Linked DNA regions of Mus musculus. The protein of the gene in region 1 interacts with the protein of each later gene in a pairwise test. Links are inferred from orthologs where the notes say so. Each region holds a gene or a part of one and is shown in the gene's direction. Other genes may lie near its edges.

Region 1 (3,647 bases):
CTCTTAAGCACCTACCTACATAATGGCTGGGCCTTGTTCCCTGTGAGAACTCCAATCCTGAGTAACAGAGGCAGGAGCTCCCTGGAGCTCTCTGGCCAGCTGACCCAACTTAAAGCAAACTTCAGGTTCAGTGAGAGAGCCTGTGTTAAGACAATAATGTGAGAAATGACTGAAGAAGACATCAGGCAACCTCCTATATCATGTATGTTTGTAGGGATGCACACTTGCATATAACACACATATATAGAAGTAGATATATAGAGAGACCCCAAAATGAAGTAGGACAACTGTTTTTTGGGATTAATCAATATTTGATAAGTAGTTACAGATAAATGGTTATCATAGTCATAAATATTACGGTTAAAAGTTGGTATCTGTATAAAATGTCAAATTAAAGAGGCTCTAAGAGGGTCCCTTTCTTTGCATCACTTCATTGGCAATCACTTTAAAAAGTCAGCTCAGTTGGGGTTGGAGCCTAGAGAGAAGGCTCAGTTAAGGGTGCTAGCTGCCCTTGTAGGTCCCAAGTTTGGTTCCCGGCACCTACACCGAGCCGCTCACAGCAACTGTAACTCCAGCTGCTGGCAAGCCAACAGTGACTTCTGCACCTTCACTCACATGTACCTACCCACAGAAAGGGAGACACACATGAATACACATCTCTTAAAGGAAATACAATTTTTTTTAGTGATTGGGATGTGTACATAAAAAGAAATATGAGAATCTGTCTCTGTCACTCATAGCTGGTGAGTTACTGAAATAACTTGGTCTATTTAGGATATTCTAAAATATATATTTTAATTACAAACTTTTATCACTAGATTGGATTGGAAATAAAGCTTCACAGTATAAAATATAATTTATATACGTAGTTATAAAGTAATAGGATATAGCTGTCTTTTGTAAAATCAATTGGAGACTTTTCTCTGTAAGGCGTACGTTCTTCATAAGTATTCTTACTGTGTCTGTTTCTAGCATGATGTAAAGAATCGTCGCACCTTCTTAAAGCGGACCAAGTATGAGGACCTGCGCCTGGAAGATCTATTTATAGGCAACAAAGTCAATGTGTTTTCTCGACAGCTGGTGTTGATTGACTATGGGGACCAATACACAGCCCGCCAGCTGGGCAGCAGGAAAGAGAAGTAAGAACAGCCGGGCCATCTTTTTCCATTGAAACCTTGCCTGTGACTTTGGCCACTAACTTCTGATTTCCTCTCCTCGGTCATGTTTTCACAACATAGTTTTTCCAGCGACCTAATATAATTTTATAACATTAAAAATATTTTGGTACTGATTCAGGGATTGGTTCCTAATTAGAATATTGAAGCAATATCTGTAGTCTTAGGAGGTGACTGTTTGGATGGGTGGGTGGCAGAGATAAAGCTCTTACACATTCTATCTGCTTTTTATATTTGTCACTAAAACCTAAGACTATTTGAGCATAAGGTTTTCTTCCTAAGCATAAGCATGATGCTGGTACGAATCACGGTAACCCGGGAGACGGTGAAGTTAGTTCTTGCAAAACTGAAGGCTTTGTGGGTTTGTTCTGTCTTGATAAAACTGAATTAAATTATTACCCCAATTAGATGAACTGGGGAGAAATGCTAATCAAAGGAGTGAGTATAGAGAAAGATCCAAAGGTGGGAAATCCTGTCTTAAGTTAGAACAACTATTTGCTATCCTGCTTGTGTAAGTTGGGGGCTAAAACTTATAAAAGTTTAATTACTACAACAATGATCTGAATTATTATGGTAACAGTAGATATGCAGAAGAAGTAAGGAGTGTACGTGATTAATAGAAATGCAGCAGTGCATGCCAGGAAGCAGCTCAGTTGGGGCAGTGCTTGTCTAGCAAAGATGAAGCCCAAAGGCCTGAGACCTAGCCCCGTGTAAAACTGGAGGTGGTGGCACGTTTCTGTCATGCCAGCATGTGGGAAGTGGAGGTAGAAAGATCAGAAGTTCAAGATCATATTAGTTTACAGAGGGAGTCAAGGGCCAGCTTGGGTTACATGTGACCCTGTCTCAAAAAAAAAAAACAAAAAAACAAAAAAAACAAAAAAGACAAAAAAACAAAAAAACAAAAAAACCAAATAACAAAGATCAAAGACAGTTCAAGTTAAGAATGGAAGTTCTAGAAACTTTGGGTGAGATGATGATGAGAAGCTGCCTCAGGGCAATTTAACAGAAGAGATAGGCAAGGTAACAGAGAATAGACCCTGCCCCAAGGAGAGAGCGATCAGAACATCAGAAATCACAAAGCAAGAAGTAGCTTGCTCCAGGGAATTTTATTCAGCTATAGAGAGTGAAATTCTAACATCTGCAAGGAAGTGGACAGACCTGGAGATCATTACATTAAGTGAAAGAAGCCAGATTACTGAAAGATATCAAGTGGGTTTTTTTTTTAAATATGTGGAATATAGATAGATGGATAGGTGGGTGGGTGGATTGATGGATGGATGGATAGATAGATAGATAGATAGATAGATAGAGTATAGAAAGGGGACCATGGAGGGAAGAAGTTTAAAGAGAGTGGGGAGTTGGGGAGTGAGAAATTGTAATAAAATATACACGTCATAAAAGCTAACAGATTACTGGGTGAAGGGAAAGGGACTAACAAGAAGTGAGTCAGGATTAGGGAGGGCGGTGGGGTGTGAAAAATAGCAGACTATAACAAAAATATCACCATGAATCACATTATTTTATATATTAGCTAAAAATAAATTTTTAAAAGACAATTATGTCAACTATAATGTGTGGGCAAACAAAAAGGACAACCCAGTGGGACGGAGTGGGCAGTGCACTGCTCCACTGGGGCAGATCCCTGCAGGAGGACCTGGGGCAGGGTGGGACAGAAGCCTCATCTGAAAGGGGACAGAGGAAGGGACTGGGTAAGCTCGGTCTGTGAGTGAAGGTCAAGGAGGTACATTATGAAAATGGAACACTGAAGCTCATTGCTCTGCGCAACCACTAAGATAAATTTAAATACCAAAACCCAGAAATTCGGGACTGGATAGGACCTGGGGACGATTCTTCTCTTGCTGTCTTACTCATTTCCGTGTCTTCTGCATCCCTGAGCAAATCTCTTTACGCATTGCAAGAGCAAGGTTAATTTCACCTCCGAGTTTTGCAGCCTTCATTCCGTGACTTTTTTGGCTCAATGCTTTGGGTCCCTGCAGTAGAACACATTATGAAGGATATTGAGTGGTAGAGGAAGCTGTTTACCTCAGGGCACAAAAGGGTCTGCAGTCCTAACAGCCCTTCTAAGCTGTGACCTAAAGACCTCCCAGTAGCTGCACCACACACACACACACACACACACACACACACACACACACACACACACTGCACACTCTCTCGCACACATGCAGATACCCCCACATGTACCTTTTTATTATTCTTTCCTTACTGCTTGCCACCCTGATTTTCTTTAGTTTTGGTTTAGAAAGAAACAGAACCAATTGGAGATGCAGCTAAAAAGCAAGCTTTAAAGAAAAACCAAAAACCAAAACCAAAAATGGACTTAATAATGATTCTCTTCTGAAAAATGATTTCCCTTGCTATGAAATGGCATTTTACTTTTCATTGTCCACATTTATGAGTTGCAGCTTTCTGAGAATAGATTAAATATGTTGGTAATGAAATTTTAATTCT
Region 2 (4,414 bases), on another chromosome or scaffold:
TTTCTTGTTTTTAAGATGCATTTTTCACTAGTTTTAGTTAAGCATGTGTAAAGGTTCTGGCCTGAGCCGGGCGTGGTGGCGCACGCCTTTAATCCCAGCACTCAGGGGGCAGAGGCAGGATGATTTCTGAGTTCGAGGCCAGCCTGGTCTACAAAGTGAGTCCAGGACAGCCAGGACTATATACAGAGAAACCCTGTCTTGAAAAACCAAAATAAAAAAAAAAAAAAAGGTTCTGGCCTGGAGCTAGAATTACAGACACTTCATGTGGTTGCCAGGACTTGAACTCTGGTCCTCTGGAGGAGCGGTATATGTTATTAACCAAGGAGTCATCTCTCCAACCCCTTTTCTGCTAGTTCTCACTCTGTCCATGCCTGCTATATATTCTTCAGGGTCAAAGCACGAATTGGAAGTTCTCAGAGACAACACCAGTCAGCAGCCAAAGACCTAACTCAGTCACCTGAAATGTCACCAACAACAATCCAGGTCACATACCTGCCTTCCAGTCAGAAGAGCAAACGCCCTAAGCACTTCCTGGAACTGAAGAGCTTTAAGGACAACTATAACACACTGGAGAGCACTCTGTGATGGGGCTGCACACGTGCAGCCGTGCAGCACTCGGGATGTCTGGTTCAGCAGACCCAGGCTTTATTGGCCAAAGCATTCTTACAGAACAGTGTCTAAAAGGTCATTCCCAACCCTTTCTGATATTGGCTAAGACCTCAGTATCTCCCAGTAGCACTTCTTCTGGATTTGAATTCAAATGTCATTCTTAACATTTCTGTTGATGCTTCTTTGAAAATCTTCGCTTGATTTTGGCTGTAAATCACCTACCCTGTTAAATGCTGTTTAATCCCAAGGATGTAAGTTGAGGTGAGGTGTCTTCTCTGTCTGCCCCATTGCACTCAACTGAATAGAAATATTTGGGTTTAGAGCATCTCAAAAGTGGGTAGAATGTCCTTTGGGATTTTGTTGCTCCGTTTAAACCAGGTGTATTGTGACATGAACATGACTTTCCTAAAGTGGAAGGATCTGTCCCCACCTTCACCCAGTCCTTAGGACAAGTAGAAAGGGGCATTCTGGCACTTGGCATAACCTATGCCACGATGGTGAGATAATGTGAAAAAGTGGTATCCTCTGATGTCAGCGTATTAGTCTCAGTTTACAAAGTACTTAATAAAACTAACTACTGTAAAACCATGGATCATTTCTTTAGAGTGGTCTTTAGAGCAACAGGCATTTGATGTGTGCTTACATTTTCCTTACAGGACATAGGGTGTGGAGTGTCGCTTCCAGAAACTGATTGGATTGTGTGTCTGGATCTAAACTACTGATAGTCTGAAATTCCAACAGAAGAAATCCTAAAATAGGGACTGTGTGGCTCATGCTTATAGCCTGGCCTTGTCACTAATAGAAAGCTGGAGAATCAGGATTCCCTTCAGGTCACTAGGGCAACAGGCCCAAGTAACCAGTCAACTACCAGGACTAGGGTCATTGTTGGACGCCTAAATGTTGCTATGACTACTGAAACCTTGGTGACCAAACTAAACAGAAAGGAGAGCCTTCCCAGTGTCCCCAAACTTAGCAAGCATGTCTGTAGTAGATATGTCTGCAGAAAAAATGACAAAACTAGAAGAGGTATGGAGGGTCGGAAAGAGGGTTGGGAGTTGGTGGAGTTTTCTTTGATATGGTTCCAGGTTATTTTACCCAAAGTACACCATTCCCGAGAAAGACCCTTGGAAGCATAAGGGAGAGTTGGCAATATATGGGAAACTGCTTGTGGAACAGAGTGGCTGTTTGCATAAGTCCCTCTGGCTCCTGTATTTTCTCTTCAGTCTGATTTCAAGATGTGGAGCTTTCCCACTTGCCCCTATGAAGCTCACTACTTCATTCCTCAAAAAGTGGGTACTAGTGGTATGCTTCTAGCAATCCAGGAGATCAACAGAACTCCCTTCTCTTGCAGAATTTGCAAAGAGCTGTGGCACTTAAGAAGACTGTCGACAGGTAATCTGTTTTCATCTGCTCTCATCAGTTTGTATTTTCTGCTCTCCTCTCCCTGAGGCACCACCGAAATCTGCTCTCCGTGAGGACTCCTCAAGAAGGAAAACACAGAGCAGAGAGAAAAACAGGGAGAGGAGATGAGCCTTGTCTTTCTCTGCCCCTGCTTCCCATCCCCTGCAGAAACGGCACAAGTGTTTGTTGTTTTGCCTTTCTTTTTTTGAATGTTCTTGTGTTCCTCACCTGGCTTTGTACTAATTATACATCAGGTATTTCAACAGTTGGTGAACAAGTGACAGTCCCTGGCAGGTTGAACTGCAGATTTCACCTGCTAACATTGTGATGTTTGTGGCACTGGGGTATATTGAATCCAGGGCTTTGTGCATGGAAGCATTCTACCACCAGCTGTATCTCCAATCTTCCTCTTTTTTTTTTTTTTTTAAGTGCTGGCAGAAGCAGCACAGAGAGGCCCATACCTATAATCTCGGTGCTTGGATGAGCATGAATCTGAGGCCAGCCTAAACTAACTTGTGACTGATAGACTCTCAACCCCAAAGGGAGGCGCAGTTTGGTGGTATTTGTTCTTTAATTTCAACACTATGGGCAGAGACGGGGCTCTCTTGAGTTTGTGCCCAGACTGGTCCACATAATTCCAGAGAATCAGGACTATATAGTGAGAAGCCTTTTAAAGGAGGGCACAGATAGCTCACTTATAGACTGTTTGCCTAGCTTGCACAGGACTTGGATTTATTTTCCAACAGAGATGGGCATCAGAAGTTCTGGGTTAGCTACAATGTGAGTTGGAGCCCAGTTTGGGTACATAAAAATGTTTTTTGGGTTTTTTTTGTTTTTGTTTTTTTTTTAGTTGCTAGGCAGTGGTAGTGAATGACTTAAACACAGCACTCTGGGTGCAGAGGCAGGTGGTTCTAGGGCTACACAGTGAAACCCTGTCTGAAAATAAAGGGTGGGGTAGGGCAGGGGAGGGGGACAGTGATGTAAGACCCAGAACAAGGTGACACAAGTGAGTTTCTTTCTCTGTGTACTATAACAGCTGACCTGCATCTGACTCTATTCATGGTAAGAGTTCAGTAACAGTCCACACTAGATCCTAAGTCAGTTCAAAGCAGCGGATCCTTACTACTAACTTACCAGTTTAATTCCCACCCCTACATCTGGGACAGGTGGCGGAATTTTCATATTCACTGTATGTGGCAGACAACATTGGACCAACGGAGAAACCTATTTGCTGCCCTAAGGATGAAGGATACTAAGGAACAGGAATTAGCACTGTCTAACAAACAGCTACTAGTGGTGAGTTCTAGGAGGGCAGCCTGGAGTCTTCCCCTTTGCTGCTCTGTGTTCCTGCCAGCCAGGATATCAAATTCCTCTCTCTCTCTCTCTCTCTCTCTCTCTCTCTCTCTCTCTCTCTCTCTCTCTCTCTCGACTTAACCATATCATTTGCCTCTGAGATTCTTTTTCATTATTTTATCAGAACATTAACATCACATGTCAAAGTTCTTTTTCAGTAAGTGATTATTTTTACATTTTCATTATTTGCAGGTGAGATGCTCTTTTAGCTTTGGGTTATTAAAGCTTTGTTTTCTTGGGTTCTTTGGGTTGGGTTTAGTTTGAAACAGGATCTCACTTTGCAGCCGTAGCTGACCTGGAACTTGCTAAGTAGGCCAGGTTAGCCTCCCTGAACTCAGAGCTCCACCTGCCTCTTGTCTCCTGCATGCTGGGATTAAAATGCATCACTACATCTAGCCAGGGGTCTTATTTTATGTATTTATTTTTAAGACAAGGTCTGGCTCTGCATCACAGGATGGCCTGGAACTTGCAGACATCAAGCCTCGAATATACTGGAATTCTAGGCGTGTCTCCCCAACCCCCACCCCAGCTGCAAGTGACACATTTCCAATTCCCAGTGCATCATAGTCTTCACTGTTTTCATCCAGTGAGAGCCTAAGCCGATGTTTCTCCTCTTGGGGGACAGTTGTGATGTCACTCTTATTTTCTTGAGTACCTAGCAGATTTTCTAGTTCATGGTGCATTCTCAGCAAAATATTTGTTGAACAATGAGTCTCTGCCTAAGGGAAGGGAAATTAGGTAGGCTTCCCCTCCAGTGATTCACACTTTCTTCTACTGCCTCCTTTTATGTCCCAGCTAAGTCCAGGTGCAACAGAACACAGGGATGGGAAAGGCAACCAGAGTCTGAGAAGAGGTGTTGAAGAGCCGACACCAAACACTTTATTGCCTTCCCTACCAGGTCCGTCAAGCTGCCTTACACGAGCTGTTTGAAAAGGAGTATCAGCAGTACCAGCAGGAACTCAATCAGATGGGCAAAGCTTTTTATGAGGAAAGACTCTGACAGCTGCCAAGACACTGTTCTTCCACCTCGTCACGCCTGCTAAGCAAGCCT
Region 3 (3,647 bases), on another chromosome or scaffold:
CACCGTCCCAGGTCTCCTTTGACTTCACAGCAGTCTGTTAGATCCAGAGGTTTTACCCATAACCTCTTCCACTTTACATCCTGCCACCTTCTACTTGATCATATGTATCCTGTTTCCTTCTCATTTCCTCCTCAGGGCACCCACTGCTTTACCCAGAGAGCCTGAGGGCCTGCCTTCCTTGATGGAAGCCCCCCAAGACACTTTCCCATATCTGAGAAGCACTTTTTGACCTTTGCCTATGGACCTCTCCCCTTGCTTCATTTCTCTTGACTGAAGTTCCTACAGCTTGGCTCAGTATCTCTATCGGTCTGTTCCTTGTCCCCACAATCCTAGATTGAGACCGTAATGTAGCACCTGTACACGTGAGATGCTTAGGAGATTTCTGTAAAGTAAAAGCTGTAGAATCCCAGGTTAGACACACTCTATCAATAATGAGCTTCCTTTTTGCTTTGCAGTGGGAAGCCTAGAGCCCCGGATTGAGGTCCTGATTAACCGTATTAATGAGGTTCAGCAAGGTGAGCTCAGTGATTGGCTGCCATCCAGGACCAGCTACAAGTTTTAACTGGCCAGGCCCAATAAAAAGTGGAAATACAGGGGTCCTTGTTAAAGTCTCTGTAGTTATTTCATGAGAGCATAAGTGCAGGGCCCTTCTGCCTGTAACCGCCATAGTCATTTGCCTGTGAACACAGCCCTGCTGCCACCCGAGCCTAGCAAGAAGGGCCAGGATTTAGAAAGCCTTGTTTCCTGCTTTGTAAAATCTGGGCCCCCTCTAAGTTTTCTTTGGGGGGAGAGTGTGAAATCTCCTCATTTGTCCTTGAGGCTGTACTTACCAAATGTCTGTCCTCCTCTTTGGTAAAGCAAAAAAGAAAGCCAGTGAGGAGCTTGGAGAGGCCCAGACTGTCTGGGACAACCTGCAGAAGGAACTGGACTTACGTAAGTTAACTGAGAGTCACTAGAGGTTTCTATGATGTCTTAGACTTCTAATGCAGTCCTGCAAACACCCGGGCCATGACTTCTCCTCCAACCTCATTTCTTCTAGCAGTCCCATCTTCTAACAGGAGGGCTGTGGAAATGCCTTTGAGGCCTGTTCTGCCCTGAGTCCTTTGCAGAGATGATCCTCCATGTATTGCCCTAGATAATACAAGTTATTGCCTCACACCAGCAGCTGTATATTATTAGAAATGTCTTTCTTAGTCATCTTGCATTACCTGATCACATAGCCCTTTTGATTGGTGTTGTTTTTCCTGGTCCCAGTGGTTGTTGTACATGGACATGGATATCTTTTGTGAAAATTAGGGCACATTGTGTTTACAGGAATGTGGATACCCGTAGGGGTAGGAACTTACCTCAAGGAAACTGCATCTGGGTTAGGGTCACAGTTATACTTGCCTCTCGTATGACTGCCCTTGACGTTTCTGTGTTTGGTCTCTAATGCCTGAACCTTCATCATCTTTTCTAGTACGTGAAGAGAAAGTACGTCTGAAGGATATTTTGAACAGAAAGGAAGGTATTCCCATATTACCCATTTCTAGGCTTTGTGATACCCTATCTAAGCCCACTCTCTCTAGTAGCTAGAAACTTAAGAACTCCCAACCTTGTGACATTCCTATGGCTTTTACCAGACCCAGAAAATGTCAAAATCCAATCAAGTGTCCACAGACTTGATGTGATATGTTTTTTTCTATTTGCCAAATTAGATGCCTTAGCAAGCACTCAGAGGGCACTGTTGTTATCCTTACAGAGACCCTGAGGATTATGCAGCTGCACTGCCAGGAGAAGGAAAGTGAGGCACAGAGGTAAGATGCCATGCCTGCAGTGGTTTCCCTAAGTGTTCCTGTTACCTCCCACACCATCTGCTCTGCTAGACACAGGCTTGAATACAGAGGAACAGAATAGAAGCCCCCAGCCCTCCCTCCAGGAGAGTCATTCAAAGAACATGGCTGAGTGTTGGTTTCTTTCCCAGGAAGCACAGCATGTTGCAGGAGTGTAAAGAGAGAATTTCTTTCCTGAACTCCCAGATCGACAAAGAGAAGGCCAAACTAAGAAAACTGAGGTAAACCTCAAGGTGTGAGGCTTGGGCTGGGGACGTGATATAGGTATAGTAATGCCCGGGATGGCCAGCCATAGTCCTGGATGGTCAAGGGGTGAAGCTATTCCTTGTGTAAGAGTGGACACGAAGTCCTTGGGTGCTATATAGACTCAGACCTTGGCCTAGCTCTGTGGTAGTTCATGGCCATCATGGCTCTGTGGTTGCCTCCTAGGTTGGATTTTGAAGAACATCTGGAGACTTTGATGAGTCAACATAAGGACACCTTGGAATTTCATGTGAGTCATACAACACTATGCTACCTATTATACTTTGTCCCTGTGCAAGCATTGGTTGGTGGTCCTGCTGTCATCGTAAATCCAGTCCCTGGTGACCACTCTTGAGATACTTGGTGTCTTCAGTATTGGTCCTTACCATTCACTCATGTTGCTGTGTCCATTCAGTGTTCTCTATGTCAGTGAGGAGGCCAGGAGGAGAGAAGAGAGGAAGAAACGCTAATACCTAAGTCTTCAGAGTGTCTCAGGATTGTAGGATTGCAGATTTTAGGGTTTCGAATACTTGCCCTAGAACCTCATTACAGGGTTAAAGGTCCGAGGAGAGGGAATGACGAGATCCATAAACCATAGCTGGCACACACCAAGGGGCAGGGTCCTCGGAAGTGAAACTTACTGAGAGGAGAAATGATGAGATGTAGACAGGCTTCTCTGAAGCTCAGGGGAGCCAGGAGATCTGGACATATCTTCTTGTTTGTGCCCCCCCACCCCAGAAGCCTGAACATCTGACAAAGGAGATGTGTGTTTTGGACAGCAGCAAGGAGCAGCTGCTCAAGGAAGGTGAGGTCAGGGCCAGAAGGGTGGCTCTCAGCTGCACCAACCTGCCCTTACCTTCTTATTACTCTTTCTCTCTGTAGAGAAACTGATGAAAGTAAAGCTGGAGGATGTGAGACAGCGGCTGTGTGCCCTGGGCGGGCCTGAGGGTTCTTCCAGCCTCATTGAGGGACTCTTCCTCCGAAGCCATGAGGCAGCTGCAGCAATGTAAGATGCAGGGTGGGGCAGGAGGAGGAAATGTCTAGCACTGACTTCTTTCCACACTATCAGGCAGATGTTCAAGGATGAGAACAAGAAAGCTGAGGAGTTCCTAGAGGCTGCAGCTCAGCAGCACGAGCAGCTGCAGCAGAGGTGCCACCAGCTACAGCAGAAACGGCAGAGGTAGGCACGGAGCTCCTGTGTCCTCATTTCTCCCAGGAAGGTGAATGGCAGCTGTTTCCCCTGTTCTGCCGGTATGTCTCTTCATATTTTCTTGATTTTTCTGCTTTCATTCTCGTCCTTCACGCTTCCCGGACAGGCTGAAGGAAGAACTGGAAAAGCATGGGGTACAGATCCTTGCTCATAGTACGCAAAACGAAGAAGACAGCTCATGGAGGATGGTAAATCCGGGAACAGAAGGGAAAGGAAAAAAGTGGTATTCTCCAGAGTATAGTCTGTGGAAAGGGCATTCCTCTGAGGAGGCACAGCTGAGGCAGAGGTGTAAACTCATGGTAGCATGGGCACAGAAAGGTAGAAAGGGGTGGTAGGAGCAGGGAAAAATGCCTGGGCCTTTA

What was found.
Region 2: the proteins of Nme7 (region 1) and 1700094D03Rik interact in binary tests that used the Homo sapiens proteins (3 or more experiments, as listed by UniProt). The two-hybrid records come from large-scale screens. The link is inferred for Mus musculus from reciprocal best matches to the Homo sapiens genes NME7 and CFAP141.
Region 3: the proteins of Nme7 (region 1) and Syce1 interact in binary tests that used the Homo sapiens proteins (3 or more experiments, as listed by UniProt). The two-hybrid records come from large-scale screens. The link is inferred for Mus musculus from reciprocal best matches to the Homo sapiens genes NME7 and SYCE1.

What each region holds. Positions count from the first base shown.
Region 1 is NC_000067.6:164,331,640-164,335,286, forward strand, and holds part of Nme7 (nucleoside diphosphate kinase 7), read left to right. Parts: intron 1-972; coding exon 973-1,139; intron 1,140-3,647. UniProt on the Homo sapiens protein: Possesses an intrinsic kinase activity. Displays 3'-5' exonuclease activity with a preference for single-stranded DNA. Does not seem to have nucleoside diphosphate kinase activity.
Region 2 is NC_000069.6:90,061,249-90,065,662, forward strand, and holds the start of 1700094D03Rik (uncharacterized protein C1orf189 homolog), read left to right. Parts: upstream 1-1,559; 5' UTR 1,560-1,602; coding exon 1,603-1,635; exon of another isoform or gene 1,636-1,960; coding exon 1,961-2,001; exon of another isoform or gene 2,002-2,093; intron 2,094-3,176; coding exon 3,177-3,306; intron 3,307-4,261; coding exon 4,262-4,363; 3' UTR 4,364-4,414. Other genes in the region: 4933434E20Rik (protein C1orf43 homolog), read left to right, coding at 390-585. UniProt on the Homo sapiens protein: Microtubule inner protein (MIP) part of the dynein-decorated doublet microtubules (DMTs) in cilia axoneme, which is required for motile cilia beating.
Region 3 is NC_000073.6:140,777,743-140,781,389, reverse strand, and holds part of Syce1 (synaptonemal complex central element protein 1), read left to right. Parts: intron 1-455; coding exon 456-515; intron 516-858; coding exon 859-933; intron 934-1,459; coding exon 1,460-1,507; intron 1,508-1,741; coding exon 1,742-1,796; intron 1,797-1,963; coding exon 1,964-2,053; intron 2,054-2,261; coding exon 2,262-2,325; intron 2,326-2,813; coding exon 2,814-2,880; intron 2,881-2,957; coding exon 2,958-3,081; intron 3,082-3,144; coding exon 3,145-3,255; intron 3,256-3,391; coding exon 3,392-3,473; intron 3,474-3,647. UniProt on the Homo sapiens protein: Major component of the transverse central element of synaptonemal complexes (SCS), formed between homologous chromosomes during meiotic prophase. Requires SYCP1 in order to be incorporated into the central element.